Linked DNA regions of Elephas maximus indicus. The protein of the gene in region 2 interacts with the protein of the main gene of each other region in a pairwise test. Links are inferred from orthologs where the notes say so. Each region holds a gene or a part of one and is shown on either strand. Other genes may lie near its edges.

Region 1 (8,447 bases), on a different chromosome or scaffold from region 2:
CATGTACCTGGACTGGAAGGCTTAATGTTATTAACATGGCAGTTAACCTACATATTCAACGCGTTCCCTATCAAAATCCCAGCTGCCTTTTTTTGCATAAGTTGGCAAGCTGATTCTAAAATTCATGTGAAAATGTTAGAGACCCAGAATAGCCGAAACAATCTTGAAAGAGAACAAAGTTCAAGGACTCACACTTCCCAATTTCAAAATTTACTACAAAATGACAGTAATCAAAACAGTATGATGCTGGCATAAAGACAGATATAAAGATCAAAGGAACAGAATTGAGAGTCCAGAAATAAACCCTCAAATTTATGATCAGTTGATTCTGAGCACAGGTGCCAATACAATTCAATTGAGAAAGAATAGTCTTTTCAACAAATGGTGCTGGGACAACTGGATATACACATGCATAAGGCTGAAGCTGGATCCTTACCTCATACCATATAAAAAAATTAACTAAAGATGGATCAAAAACTTAAACATAAGAGCAAAAGTTATAAAACTCTTAGAGGAAAACACAGGAATAATTCTCCACGACTCGGGTTTTAGACAATGATTTCTCAACTATGTATCCAAAAGCAAAAGCAATAAAAGAAAAAAAAAATAGATAAATCAGATTTCATCAAAATTAAAAACTTGTGCTGCAAAGGACACTATCAAGAAAGTGAAAAGACATCCCAGAGTAGGAGAAAATATTACAAACCATATATCTAATAGGAGTCTTTACCTAGAATACACAAAGAACTCTTAAAACTCAACGATAAGTATTTTTAAATGGGCAAAGGATCCAGATAGACATTTCTCCAAAAAGGATATATGAATGGCTAATAAGCAGACAGAAAGGTGCTCAACATCATTGGTCATTAGGAAAATGCAAATAAAAACTACACTGAGGTACTACCTCACACCCACTAGGATGATTGTAATAAAAAAGATAGAGAATAACAAGTGTTGGTGCGGATGTAGAGAAACTGGACTGCTCATACATTGCTGGGAGTAAGGTAAAACAGTGTAGCTGCTTTGGAAAACAGTGTGGCAGTTCCTCAAAATGTTAAACTTTAGAGTTACCATATGACCCACCAATTCCTCTCCTAGGTATATACCCAAGACAACTGAAAACATATATCCACACATAAACTTGCACACAAATGTTCATAGCAGCGTTATTCATAATAGCGGAAGCAACTCAAAGGTCCATCAACTAATTAACGGATAAATAAAATGTGGCATAGCCATACAGTTGAATATTACTCCATTTATGGTTATAAAAAGAACTTATAGATGGTACAACATGGTTGAACCCTGAAAACACGCAAAGTGAAAGAAGCCAGTCACAAAAGGCTACACTGTATGATTCCATTTATATGAAATGTCCAGAATAGGCAGAACCATAGAGAGAGAAATAGACTAGTGTTTGCCTTGGACTGGGGAGAGATGAGTATGGGGTTTCTTTTGGGATGACGCAAACGTTCTAAAATTGATTGTGGTAATGGTTGCACAACTTTGTGAATATATTAAACACCACTGAATTATATCACTTTATAAGTCAGTGAATTATATGGTATGTGAATTATATCTCAATAAAGCTGTTATTAAAAAAACAGACACACACAAGAAAGCACTGGCTCTACGGGAACATGTTAAGTGGATTGGGCCGTGCTGGGAAGTTTAGATCGATAATGCTAGACATGATACAGACAGGACAGTTAATAAAGAGCCCCACAGAGCTATTATTATTGACCTTGCTTTATAGGTGAGAAAACTGAGCTCTATAGAAATTTAAGGTCACATAGCTAGTACATAATGGAACCTGGATCCCAACCCAGGAAGTTTTAAAGCAGAGCCTGGTCCTTTCACTGCTGTACTACTGTGCTTCCTAGAAACATGTCTCTCTGCTTTAAGATGAAGACAGGGTGGAGAACATTCGTAGCTGTGAATCTGTAAAATGGATGAGACTGCTCTCTTTCCTAGTGCCAACTCCACGGCGCTCATCAGAAAGCACTTATCGCTTGGTTGCCTACCATCTGTTTAATAGACATCGTAGAAGTCAGCCTTGGTTTCTGCAATTTCTGAAGCAAAATTCAGGATAAAGCAGTCTCTTTGAAAAGATTTAGCTTGCAGCTTCTCTCCTTCAGGGAAGTGATGTCTGTCTGCCAACGTGAATACTCAGCTGAGAATGATCAGATAGAAGTCTTTGTGGAACAGTTTCTGAATCTCACGAGCCACCCTGAAAACTCATAAAAACATCGATTGTGTGTAATTTCTTTTTGAAGATTCATGGCTACAGTTGAAAAAAAAAAAATTTTTTTTTTTTTTGGACAATGCTAATTCTTCAGTAAAAGTTTAATACAGCAGACTTCTATTTTTCACAAGACATTTGTGCTTCAATATAAATGTAGAGGCCTGTGTGTTGTGTATGTTTAACCCTTATTTTTATCTGATTAGCAAATGAATACAAGGACCTAAATCTTTGTCTGCATTTTGGACTCTTCCTGTGAGCTGGCTTCCCAGATGTGGAATAATCCCAAGTCAAAGGTATGAACATATTTAAGGCTCTTGATCCACATTGCCAAATTGCTTTGCAAAAAGATTGAACCAATTACACTCCCACCAGCAGTATATGAGAATATATTTAAATGCAAATTCCAACTGCAGTGTCTTTTCTTAGGTATTTCACTTAAAAAAATGTTGCTTTTTTTTTTTTAAATGCTAAGCAAAAGCTGACCCAGGATGTTAAAAAAAGAAAGTCTGAAAGAAAAATGGAGCAGATAGTTAAAACAGCTCTTAGATATAAGCTTTACAAAGGCCCAAACATGAAGATAACCATGTTGTTAGATGCCCTCGAGTCAGTTCTGACTCATAGCCACCCTAGGTACAACAGAATGAAGCACTGCCTGATCTTGTACCATCCTCACAACCATTCCTATGTTTGAGCCCATTGTTGCAGCCACTGATTGTCAACCCATCTCGTTGAGGGTCTTCCTCTTTTTTGACGACCCTCTACTTTATCAAGCACGATGTCCTTCTGCAGGGATTAATCCCTCCTGATAACAGGTCCAAAGTAGTCTAGAAGAAGTCTTGCCATCCCCGCTTCTAAGCAGCATTCTGGCTGTACTTCTTCCAAGACAGATTTGTTCGTTCTTCTGGCAGCCCTTGGTAAATTCAATATTCTTCGCCAACACCATAATTCAAAGGCATCAATTCTTCTTCCATTTTCCTTATTCACTGTCAAGTTTTCATATGGATATGAGGTTACTGAAAACACCACGGGTTGGGTCAGGCACACCTTAGTCCTCAAAGTGACATCTTGGCTTTTTAATAGTTTAAAAGAGTTCCTCTGCAGCAGATTTGTCCAATGCAATATGTTGTTTGATTTCTTGATTGCTGCATCCATGGGTGTTTATTGTGGATCCAAGTAAAATGAAATCCCTGGCAACTTCAATCTTTTCTCCATTTATCACGATGTTGCTTATTGGCCCAGTTGTGTGGATTTTTGTTTTATGTTGAGGTGTAATCCATACTGAAGGCTGTGGTCTTTGATCTCCATCATAAGTGCTTCAAGTCCTCTTCACTTTCATCAAGCAAGGTTGTGTCCTACGCATATCGCACTTTGTTAATGACACATCATAACTCACTACCTTAGAGCCGATCCCGATAGAGACCCTAAAAAACAGAGGAGAACTGCCCCGGAGGGTTCCCAAGGCTGTAATGTTCAGGAAACAGATTGCCATCTTTAGGAAAGCAGACTGCCACGTCTTTCTCCCGTGCATCGGCTGGTGAATTCCAACTGCTGACGTTTGAGTTGGCAGCCGAGCGCTTAACCACTGCACTGCCAGGACTCCTTCAATGAGGCATCAAAGGAAGCACAATTCTGTAGGGGCCATTAACAATTTGGCTTAGATTGGAAGAGCAAAGGCCAAGAATGTGGGGTGTGGTCAATGGACCACATTCTAGTTTTAAAAACGCAGGCTAATTTTATTTATACTCCACGTTGCTCTAACAACTACTTAAGGTACCTAAAGGCAGGATCTGGAGAAGCAGTACTGTGTCTTCACAATCATCCCTGTGAAAATGAAACAAACCCACGCCCCCTGAACTGTGGTCAGTCTTATCTCTCCCCACACGGGATGCCCCACCTCGGTAATCTGAGTCCAGTCTGCAATCATAGTGACAGCCTCCCTCTCCGACTCTAATACGGGGACACAGTGATTTAAGGGGGGGGTGTAGGGATACGGACGGTAAGTGGAAGCCCAGACTTGAGATACCAACCCAACTGAACTCTACACGATTCCAAAAGGTGCTGGGACCTCAGCATTGAGCCAGAAAACCGCCCCTCCCTCCAGCTATTTGGGAAATCGCCAGCCCTCATCTGCGAGTCTTCCATTATTTTCTGTGGCCCACTCCCGACCCGCTTCTACCAGAAAGATAAAGAGCAGACGTCCGAGAAGCCAGAAACTCGACTTTGTTCTCATTTCTCACGTTTGTTCATCCTTTCCTGCTACATCTCTCTTCCCCCCTTTCCTGTCCTCTTCCCGTCTTCCTTCTCTCCCCCTTTCCCTTCCTCTTTTCCTGGGACTGATCCCCCTTCGCCTCTTTCTCTCCCCTTCCACACCCCTCGCAGCCTCCCGCAGCCAATCAGAGCGCAGGCCTCCCGAGGCCACGCCCCCTCCCGGCCGTTCCGGGCGGGCCAGGCAGAGCCCAGGCCGCGGAGCTGGAGGGCGGCGCCGCGGGGCGGGGAACCGATGGGGCCTGGCGGACGGGCGGCGTCGGCGCGGGGGTCGCCCGGACGCACGCGTGCGGGGCTGTGAGGGAGCGAGTCGGGCGCTGGGGCCCGCCCGGGATGGGCCAGCCCCGGCCTGGCGGGACCGAGCCGGAGGCGAGGGCGGCGCGCGGGCCAGGCCTGGCGGGCGGACGGCCGGGAGGCTGAGGTAGAAGTGGGCGCGGAGGAAGGGGCCGAGCTAAGGCGGTGGGTGGAGCGGCGAGGGGGGCGGAGGCTGGGCCGCGACGGGCGAGCGGAGCGGCGCGCCTGTCCGGAGCTCGGCGGCGTCGGCGCCGGAGGAGGCTGAGGCGGCGGCGGGCCCGGACGAGCGCCCGGAGGTGGCGGACGAGGCGCCGGGTGCCCCCATGGGCGGGTGTGTGGGCGCCCAGCACGACTCCTCGGGCAGCCTCAACGAGAACTCGGAAGGCACCGGAGGTAGGTGAGCGCCAGGGGGCAGCCTCGGCCCCCCATTGTTCCCGGCCAGGCCCGGCCACCTGTCCCGACCCCCTGCCGGCCCGCGGGCGGCGCAGCCGGGGCCCCCGCGCCCCTTTGTCATCCCCTCGTGCACGTCACTCCCCGCGTCCCGCTTCCGGCTGCCCCACCGGCCTCGGGGGTTGCCCCCTTTCCTCCGCAGCCCCGGGGAAAAGTCTGCGCGTGGAGATGCAGCCCCGGGCCTCGCCGACCCCACCGCCTCGGCTCGGAAAACTCGGACCAGAAACTGCCTTTCTGGCCACCTCGCTCCGTCTCCAGCCCGTTTAATTATTCAGGAACAGGATGGCGGCGCTGGGGTTGCAGAAAAGCGAATTGATGGGGCGGAGGGGGGAGGGGGCGGGGAGCCTGATGCCTTCCCTCCGACTGGCCCCGCCACATCTCTCCGCACCCTTCCTTGTTCAGCAGAGTTGGCCGGTCTCAGCTTTCCTGAGTTTCAGATGACAGCTGCCCTGGTTGGTTCCAGTTTGGCCATTTAAACCTGCAAGTTTCTGGAGCTCGACTGGGGAAGTCTCAAGTGGCCACAGGCATTATTTTAAGGAGGAGAGAGGAAACGATCTGCCCGAGTAAAACGTGGCTTTTCTTGCAACAGGATGGAGTTTTCGGGCCAGTTTGCTGTCGGGGTGGGCTACTCAAATTCCGATCAGTGTTACGTAAAGGAAAATATGTAGGATAAAAGTGCAGATGCATAAGAGTCTGACTTAACCGAGTAGGACCAGTACTTTTAAATTAAATTTTCGAACACGGAACGCACTTCTACTTTCTTGTAAACAGCAGTTGGCAGGGGAGAGGTGTTTTAATTCAATCGGTGTTGTCGTATGGGATGTCATAATACAATTCATTTCACCAGTACTCGAGCTAAGTAATCTTTTGCCGTGTTCATGCTGTGATTAGTAGAGGTTAGAATGCTTTAATTAAAGAATAAACAGCTGCTCAGGGGTGGCAAAGATAACAAAGGTTTTGTACGGACTCGATGTTAGATGTCTCAGAATAACGAGCTGTATAGAGAGAAGTTCCTAAACTAAATTGACGAGGGTGAGAGGGTGTACAACTTTTTCTTAACATACTGACATTTAGATCAGTTGCTTGTCCAGTCACTTAAAAAAAGTTGTCTGTAAATCGTATGCACTTAGATTTAAGCCGATGAGTTTCCTGAACTACTGGATGTGACTTTTAGCCATGCCACTTTGTTAAAATCTGTGAGTATCCGTATGACTAAATCCTGAGCGAATAATTTGAGAGCTCAGTGAAGGGTGTCTTGGAAAAAAAAAAAAGTTCGTGAAAACACTATAGTGCATTTCATGTCGTTGCATTATTTTTTGGTGACACATTAACAACTAGATCCTCAGTAGCAAACAGGAAAATAAAAGGGTCCTGATTTAAAACAGCCTTGGGTCAAATTGGCGTCAAAAAAGTTCTTCCTCCTTGAGGTGATCATTAATTGTTCTGAAACCTATTAGTATTTGTTATAGGCAGTATTTAGTTTTAATTAAAAATATTTTCTTAACACTCTAGTTTAAAATTCTACCCAGTTTTTCTTCCCTTAGTAATGAACTTGAACCAATTTATTTAAACCTTTTGTTAGTGTGATTTAAGACCAGCCAAACATTATTTGCATGGGCTTTTAATAGTATGAAGCCTTAGATTTGGGTAATATATTACCAACAATGTCCACTTACATAGCTATAGTGTCAGTATCTTGGAGGGCTGAGTTCTTGGGAAGGAAAGCTATGCTCCACTTTTCTGAAGTAAAGTTTGGGAAAAGACACATTAATCATCAGCCAATCTCTTTGTTTTCTTCTGGAGAGAGGGGTGACCCTGGGGGAGGGGCTGTGTGAGATAAAGTGGTTAATTTTGGAATTTAATTATGGAAGCCTTTATTTTCTGTTACTGTCATGATAACCCAAACCAAACCCGTTGTCGTCAAGTCGATTCCAACCGTAGTGACCCTACAGGACAGAGTAGAACTGCCCCAGAGGATTTCCCAGGAGCGCCTGATGGATTCGAACTGCCGGCCTTTCAGTTAGCAGATGTGGCTCTTAACCACTATGTCACCAGAGTTTTGAGAGTTAATTGTTTAAAAGAATGAGCTCAGGTGAGTGTTCCAGGTTAACATATTATGTTAAGTAGTTCTTGCGTACTATATAGAATGTTTTTGTTGGGAAAAGGCAGACTTTTTCCTAAGGGTGTTAGCACAGAGCTTTAGCTTTTCAAGCATAACAAACATGGTTAGTAGTTTTAATCTGGATGTAACAGGTTATGACAATTCTATCAACAAGGAGTAAAATATATTTTTCAGATGCTTTTCATGAAAGATTTAAAATGGTAAAAATTTGGATGCTTCCTGTGTATTGATCATGTGACTCATTTTACAATTGGTTAAACCCTTTCTGAATATCAGCCAGTCTTAGTTAAAAAAATTACTGTTTTTTTTTTTTTGTTAACCTTTTTGGCCAGTTGAAATAGTGTAGTTTCCTTTTGGATCCAAGTCTGTTATATATGCAAATGATCAAGTGTAGATTGTGAAAAGCTTCCTTATTAGCTGGATTACTTTGAAAGAATGGGGGAAATTTTTGCAGGAGACTGTTGAATATGGAGATGGCTTAATTCAAATGATAAGATTTGTGTTATCTATTATTTTGGAATCATTTGTAGTATCTTCTCCTGGCATAACTTGCCTAGAATTCAGTTTTTGAATTTCAGCTACTTTGAGCATTTTTTAAATGCCTAATTTTAGCCAAAACAGGTATATAGCAGAGAGGTTATGCAAGATTATTTAACAGCTCTCTCCAAGCTATCATGCTTCTAGGTTTCCAGTTATTTTGATATATTTAGATGGCGTATTCTGGGTGGCTCTCTACCTTATGATGATGACATTGCGATGCTGGAGTTTGCACTTAGGACCTCTAGAGGAGGCTTTAGCCCATGGCATTTGCTGAGGAATTAGGTCCCTTATGATTTTTTATAAAATGAAAAAAACAAAATTAAATAGTCGAATACAGCCAACTAGGTTCTTTTCTCACTTTGTTCACCTCTTTAAGGAAGGTGTAGTAATGTGCAAAGTAGGTTCTCTGTTTTCTGGGTGTATCATTCATTCTGTACATTCAGTGATATCCCAGGTGGACTGATTCTGGTGGTCACAAGTTTCCAGGCTCACAGGTGGATAAGGTAATGCTGAATGCTGGACCTTGATTTC
Region 2 (8,293 bases):
GCAACAATAAAGAACAATGATGAATCTGCAAAACATCTCACAACATGGGTGAATCCGGAGAGCATTATGCTGAGTGGAATAAATCAGTAACAAAAGGTGAAATATTGTATGAGACCACTATTATAAGAACTCAAGAAAAGGATTACAAACAGAAAAAAACATTCTTTGATGGTTACAAGAGTGAGGAGGGAGAGGGAGAGGAAATCACTAACTAGATAGTAGACAACTGTCAACTTTATAACATACAATATAGGGAAGTCAGCAAAACTTGACCAAGGCAAAGACACAGAAATTTCCTAGACACATCCAAACACCTCGAGGTACTGAGCTGCTAGGGCTGGGGACCATTGTCCTGGGGCACATCTAGGTCAATTGGCATACATAGTTCATAAAGAAAATGTTCTACATCCTACTTTGGTGAGTAGCGTCTTAAAACTTTGCGAGCGACCATCTAAGATACATCTATTGGTCCCATCCTGTCCAAACAAAGGAAAACCAAAGACACAAGGAAAATATTAGCCCAAAGTACTAAAGGATCACATAAGCCAGAGCCTCCACCAGCCTGGGCCCAGAAAACTAGATGGTGCCCGGCTATCACCACCAACCATGCTGACAGAGATCACAACACAGTCCCAGACAGAACAGGAGAAAAATGTAGAACAATACTCAAATTCATGAAAAAAGACCAGACTTACTGGTCAGAGAGAGACTGGAGGAACCCCTGAAACTATGGCCCCAGGACACTCTGCTAACTCAGAACTGAAACTACTCCCAAAGCTCACTTTTCAAACAAGGATTAGACATGCCTGTAAAACAATAATACATGTGAGTAAAGTGCTTCTTAGTTCAATCCAATATACGAGACCAAATGGGCAACGAGAAGGCAGGAAGGGAGAGGAATTGGACGAATGGACACAGAGAACCCAGGGTGAAAAGGGGGAGCAGAGGGACAGCATGCTGTCACATTGTGGTGATTGCAACCAATGTCACAAAACAATATGTGTATAAATTTTTGAATGAGAAACTAACTTAAGCTGTAAACTTTCATCTAAAGCTCAATAAAGTTAAAAAAAAAAAAAAGAAAGAAATGCCCATCTACTGACAAAAGGTTGAAAAATTATAGTACATGCAGAACAAGACCTATTATGCAACCAATAAAAGTACAAATCAAAAGTATTAGTAAAATTTTTTTAAATATCAAAAAGATCAGCATTGGCTCCCCTGTAGAGAAACACTCTCTTATAATATCCTAGTGTGGGTATAAGCAGGTACACTATAGAGGAACAAAACTATGAAAATTTAAAATTTCCATGCCATTGACACAGCAATCTACCTTCCAGGAATTTGTCCTACAAATATAATGGCGTGACAATCTAAAGACAGATGTGCAAGGATGTTCACTGCAGCCTTTCTTATAAGAAGAGGACTTGGAAAGGACTTAAATGTCCACTAGTAATAAAATGATGGAATAAATTATATGTCTACACAATGAAGTAATAACACAAACTTAAAAATAATAAGGTCATTCTATATGGCTGAACTGGAAAGATAAAAGACAGCCAGGATATACCAAGTATAAAGAGCAGGCTGAAGACTGTTCTTCCTGTATGTTTGTAAATGTTTATAATAAAAAAGTGATGGAGGAAAATTAGATGCTTTTTCTGAATGAGCATCTCAGAAGTTCGCACAGTTGAACCCTGTCTCCGCTAGCCTACCGTTTATCTGACCTCTACTGTTTTCTGACCTACACTGCTAACATAGCCATTTTCTCTACTTGACTCAGCGGTTTCTCAAGATCTCTTCTCTTCTTTTCTGGAATAAATATTTAAAAACATATTTTAAAAACAAAATTTTAAATTACCCTCTTTTCTATTATGATAATTCATGCCTTAATACTCTTGTGGTGGAAATCCCTTGGTATAAATCAACATAAAAACCCAATGTTATTTCACCTCTTGTGAACTACAACCCCTTTTAAGAAAGGAATACCCTTGTTTAAAGAATGCACTTGTATCCTAGTACACTCATAAGTCTCAGAAGACCAAGTTTCACGAGGTCATAACAAATAGTGTTAAGATCTCAGATTCACTTTATTACCATTTGTGTATTATAAAAAGTGTATTATACAGACATGAAAATAAGAGATCACAGCACCGTGTTCACCCTAATTCTCAATTCTCTCTTCAAAATTACTGCGCACTTATTATTCCACACCAGGCTACAGTCTGCCACCTGTTTTTCTACGGCCTAAAAGGTAAGAAAATTTTTTACATTTTTAAATGGTTAGGGAAAAAAAAATCAAAAGGAGAGTAATATCTCATGATACATGAAAATTACATGAAATTCAAGTTTCAGGATCCACAAAATTGTATTGGAACACACCTATTTAGCATTTTGTAATGCTGTTTTCCAGTTATAAAGACAGAGTTTAGTGGCAACAAACACCACATAGGCCTCAAAGCCAAAAATATGTCCTACCCAGCTTTTTACAGATAGCTTGGCAACCCTTGTTCTGTGCCATACTTCATGCCCTTTATATTTTATAGTTTTACCTACTCATTTCCCTCACTTTCCCTCGTTACTTAGCGTTAAGTCCCCTTAATAATCTGCTAGTCTCCAGGCAAGCAAATTCTTCAGTCTTGGAGAAGCAGTCCCTCCTGGGAACTTCTTTATAATCTAACCCACATTCCTAGTCCTTACAAACAGCAAGCCAGATAGAAGTGCTATTAACACCTTAAAAGTTACAATTAACAAATCAAAACCAGAGCAACTCTCACCAGCATCACTCTCCCTCCAAAAGAGGCTAAAGAGGCTGGTCCTCCAGCAACTCTCCCTTACAGTTGAGGTGTTTTGCAAATGGGACCAAGTACTGCTGCTAAAATAAGATCCGTAAGGATCAAATAGTAATGAGAAAAAAATGTTACTACAGGTAGTCCCCACCTTAAGACCGGGTTCAGATGACTGTCATAAGACGGTTCTGACATAAATCGAATTACCTTTTTTTTTTAGTTTCATTATTGCCTTTTATTATCAGTACAGTAACTTTTAAAACCAAATCTTCATTTGTCTTTGGGGGTTGGAAACGTTACATATAAACATCTGCAAGTGAACATCTAGGATGAAAACATCAGCAAACAACGTGTTGTAGCATTGTATACAGTGCATTTTACAAACAAGATATTAAAAAAAAAAAAAAGGAAGCGAGGCGTTGTTAAGTGCGGCTTTTCCTAACTCCAATCAGGGACTACCTGTAAATGTAATTTTCTCGTTTTCCTTCAAATCTTTGGCTACCGAAAAAAGTGAAAAGCAAAGGAACAATAAGAAAAAAGCAGACCAACTGGATTTAGCATGTGAGATCCTAAATATTTATACCTCGCTCATTTGATCATATTTTCTGCAAGTAAAAAATTCCTGGCTGTCAGGATGAGAGCTTAAATATTGCACGGTGTTTGTAAACAGCATCACAACTTACACTTGGGGCTAGCTGGTGGCATTTCCTCTCCAAGACGGAGGGTACAAACTGCTTTCTTTTCTACCAGCAGTCTCATACTCCACCTAGCACTAACTCCTCGACCGTTCCAGCCCCTCTACCCAGCACCTACTCCTCCCCTCCCCCATCACACCTCTACCCAGAGGACTCCTCCCCAGCCCTATCACACCTCTCTAGCCAGCGCCTACTCCTCCGGAAGGAGTCCTCCCCCAGACCCATCACACCTCTACCCAGCAGACTCCTCCTCAGCCCCATCACCTCACCCCCTTCCTCCAAAGTCACGTGCCTGCGGAGCTTCCAACTGCAGGAGAAAGGAAGGCTAAAATGCAAAGCCTGGAGTCCCCGAACAAGCGGAGAAACGCAAATCACAGTCCCAGACGTGCAAAGAACGGGCACTGGGTCTCATCAAGTTAACTAGAGTTTACGGAGCGTTTGCATCGGTCGGCCCCGAGCGAGGAGCTGAGGATAAAAAAGTGAACAGCAGAGACTTGGTACCACCGCTGTCTGGACTCTCATTCTAGCGACAGAAGCAGATCATTTCGACAAACCCAACAAAGCAGGGGCTGGACGAAGAGCTTTTGAAGCACTCGGCTTAGAGAACTCAAAAGACTGACTCTCAACCAGTCGGAAGTGACGTCCTAGCAGAGACCTGCAGGTCCGCCACGTAACTGGACGCCACCTCAACTAGCACTTTCTCCCGGACTGGCTTAAAGAGAGGAAAAGTGTGGCTGGACCACACCAACCTGCCCTTGCCCTACCGTTCCTGACCCCCCCCCCAAGGACCCACCAAGCCAGACCAAAGCCCGGGCCGCAGCCTGGACGGGAGAGCTGTTCCTGCCCCGGATCCCGTCCGGCGCCCTGCGGACAATGGGCTTCAGGATTCAACCATGCGCATGCGCGACCCTTTTTCTCCAGCGGATTCTTCTGGTCACCTGGACGCCGGCATCTCAGCCAACTGCCCCTCAGGGTCCCTTTACGCCCTTGACGCCTCCTGCCGGGTCTCACCTACGGCCCCATTCCTCCTTCTTCCGCAGGGACCGCTAAGCCCTCACGCGACCGCCTCCAGCCACCCGACTTCGACAGGAGCCTCTCCGCGCGGCGCGGCTTCCGCTTCCGGCGAGTATTGTGTGTCGCGCTGCGGGGCGGGGGGAGGAGGAAGGAGGGAGGCAGCGCTCCGGTGGCTCCGCGCCCCGCACTCCCGGACCCGAAGCCGGGAAGGTAGGTGCCGTCCCGCCGCCGCGCCCGTGCCCCGGGGCCTGTCCCGGCCGGCCGGCTCCGCCTGCCGCGTCCTAGTGACCCGCGACTGCGTCACCGGCCCCCTGCACGTAACTACAGCTGCCTCCGCCCGCCTCAGGCCCGGGCGGACGTTTTGCCGCCCCGGCGACGTCAGCGCGTCCGGCGTTGCTTGGCTACCCCGCCGTTCCCCCGTCCCGCTGCCGCTCGCCTCCCGCGGTGAAACTGAGCCGTCACCGCCGATCTCGGCTGCGTCATAGCGGCCGGCATCCCACCTTAACGTCACACCTCCAAACCTAGACACGCGTCCTTCCTTCCCCTGCCAGGCACGACGTTTCTTCACCCCACTCTCCAATCTCTTGCGCCAGATCTGGCGGGAGAAGATGGAGACGGGGGTGGGACAGAGTTGTGGACAGCGCTCAGGAGAGGGTTGCAAGATGGGACCTTGGACAGTGGTAGAAACACAATGAGGACGTCCCTGAAGTTTGCCCTTCCACTGAAACACGAGGAATAGAGAGAGGGGAAGGACTAACCCACAGGCAAGCGAGGCCTCAGGCGAGCTCTGAGTCCTCTCCATATTTCCCAGACCCTTTATCCATCTGTCTTTCACACCACTGTTCCGTTTTCTTTGCCAGTCTAGGTCTGTCCTGGCCCTTAACTGCATGTAATTCAACTCACTTCAGGTGAGAAGGCCACTTAGTTTCCAAGAAGATTGGGGAAAGGGCAGGTCACCAGTCAAAATTGGATTCCCGTGGTTAGAGAAAACTCATCTGACAGAACTCATCTAACGTTGGGGGGAAAATTCTAGTTCAGTTAAGTTATTGAGTCCCTATTCCAAATTAAACACTGTCGTATGTACTGTCAGTATATCAAAACCAAACCTGTTGCCGCTGAGTTGATTCCAACTCATAGCAACCCTGTATAATTGTTAATAGTTGTTAGCCCAATTCATTTCATGGCCACATCTATCTCAGCACATAGATCTGCTGAATTTCCTTCCTTCCATTGGATCCCTCGGGGTGATGGATGTGCAGTGTGGATATAGGGATAAACAAATGAACTTAACTTCTGGATAAAAGTGTTGCCATTCTACGGATGGAGTAGGGGACCAGCCTTCTGCTTTATAAATCTCTTTGCTGCATTTCCAGTTCTTTTGAGGCATCACTTGAGGGAGATTTTGATTGCCTATTTACTTTCTTTCTCTTAATCCCCAACCACTCCAGAACCTATTAGTTGAAGACACAGTATGTCCAGGGAATTAATTATGAATAGCTATCTTGAAAGACTGCAGTCATTGCTCAATATTTACAGTAGACTTATCAGCCCTCTTTTTAAAAGGTTATTGGTTTGAACTCAATAACGTACCCTTTAGTATAGTTGCCATAAATTTATCATTTTTCAGCAGTTCCAACTGTCCAAATGCCCACAAATAGAAGTGGGATGTTGTGTGAGTCATTTCATTTCAAGAATTTTCTCTAGGCTAGTCTGATAAAAGAATAATTTCAAACTTTCCTTTAAAAAGGAGATTGTTACCCTCACCTAACCCATTCCATTTATTACCCTTTGAAAGAATGAGAGAAGAGTGTCAGGGAATCAAGATTAGGCTTTATTAATACTTTGACTTTTATGGCAGTTTGCAGTTTCTCAAACTCCTTTCTCATCTATAAGAAAAATATATCAAGCTGGGGATACATTGGTCTGGAACTAATTGGTTCTAAGATACAAATGGGATGAACCTGATTAGGAGTATATTGGGCTAAGGTAGGAAGAAACCTCTGTTTTTAACAAGAGAAAGCAGACGGGAAATATTGAGGGATGAGTGTCAGTTTGCTGAAGAGGGGGAAAAAAAGATTAGGTTGATAGTTGGGAGTAAAATTTGGAAATGGAGAAAGAAAAGAGAGGTTGAATCAAGTGGGGGGAAAGATGGAGAATACCAAGATGGGTTAAAAGTGGGTGTAGGGTTTAATATGAGAGTAAATGTCAGGCCAGGGATGCAAGAAAATTAAACCTCCAACTAATATTTTTCTTTTCTCTGCCCCTCCTCCTATCCCCAAGTTAAATAATGGCAGAGACGGGTCTGTTAGAGGCTGGGGCCTCTGCAGCATCCACAGCTGCAGCTCTGGAGAACTTACAGGTGGAGGCAAGCTGCTCTGTGTGCCTGGAGTACCTGAAGGAGCCTGTCATCATTGAGTGTGGGCACAACTTCTGCAAAGCTTGCATCACACGCTGGTGGGAGGACCTGGAGAGGGACTTCCCTTGTCCTGTGTGTCGAAAAACGTCCCGCTACCGCAGTCTCCGACCCAATCGGCAACTAGGCAGCATGGTAGAAATTGCCAAGCAGCTCCAGGCTGTCAAGAGGAAGATCCGGGATGAGAGCCTCTGCCCCCAGCACCATGAGGCCCTCAACCTCTTCTGCTATGAGGACCAGGAGCCTGTATGTTTGATATGTGCAATTTCCCACACACACCGAGTCCACACCGTCGTGCCGCTGGACGATGCCACACAGGAGTACAAGGTGGGGAACCAGATGCATGATACCAACATGGGGAAAGAGGGCGAAGCAGCGGTGGATGGGAGACTCCCTGAGTAGAGGATTATAAATTCCTTGAGAGCAAGACTGCATCTGGTCTTCACTCTGTGATCCTCTCAGAGCTACACACACTGGGGGCCCAAGGTACTCCTGATCAACTCAATTATCCTCAAGTATGAAGAGCAGTGGTATGGAGGATCCAGAATTATACTCTTGACTTTTGCAACACATTTGAGTCTTAAGTGTGAATGTCTGTATGTGTGATCTTGGGACGTGTTATATTTTTCATAAATGAATGAAACCACATGGAGAAGATCTAACTTAGGAAGAATTGAACAGTGGTCTGGTTTCCTCGTTCTCTCCCCTTGCTCAGAATACCCCTTATTTCCCATGTATTCGGAGTAGGTAATACCACTTCTTTAGACTGATAATCCCCAGTCCATGCTGAACTAGTCTGTTGTTTGCATCTTCTCTAGTAATGGATAACATAGCATCTGGTATAACTTGCTCCTGGGACATGGTAGATATTTGAGTTATGGGAATTAGAGATTTCATTGTCTTAGCATGTTGTCACTTACTTTGCTAAATAATGTTGGAAACAAGATTTGAGGTAATTTACAGTATAAGCAATGAAGATTTTATTATTTTTATAGGTGGTCAGAGTTGGATGGAAGGACAGGTTTAAAGAAGGATACCAGGGTACAGAAGGTCACTTTGACAGCAATAGGCAGTTACATACTGTAAGAAAATGGACAGGATTGGGGAAGGACACAGAGGTTGGTGCCTGTTGGAAAGCTACGAGAGTGAGAAGAAAGTTGGGTGAGCAGAGATAACTTGGATAGGTTGGTGGCAGAAGGGACCAGTAAGAAATTGACACCCAAATGACAGGCAAGTAAGGGAGTTGGATCAAGTGATGGTGAGATGGGTAATAAGCAAACAAATGGATTGACCTCTGAATGAAGCATGTGCTAGCCAACCCCGATTGTTACCTTCCCACTGCCTCCCCCTCCCCTCAGGAAAAGCTACAGAAGTGCCTGGAC

What was found. The genes of interacting proteins can lie anywhere in the genome.
Region 1: the proteins of TRIM39 (region 2) and UBTD2 interact in a two-hybrid assay, tested with the Homo sapiens proteins (2 studies listed by BioGRID and IntAct). The link is inferred for Elephas maximus indicus from reciprocal best matches to the Homo sapiens genes TRIM39 and UBTD2.

The regions. Positions count from the first base shown.
Region 1 is NC_064820.1:191,267,150-191,275,596, reverse strand, and holds the start of UBTD2 (ubiquitin domain-containing protein 2), read left to right. Parts: upstream 1-4,982; 5' UTR 4,983-5,127; coding exon 5,128-5,197; exon of another isoform or gene 5,198-7,336; coding exon of another isoform or gene 7,337-7,346; intron 7,347-8,447.
Region 2 is NC_064819.1:90,747,129-90,755,421, forward strand, and holds the start of TRIM39 (E3 ubiquitin-protein ligase TRIM39), read left to right. Parts: upstream 1-4,623; 5' UTR 4,624-4,708; intron 4,709-6,778; 5' UTR 6,779-6,785; coding exon 6,786-7,238; intron 7,239-8,269; coding exon 8,270-8,293.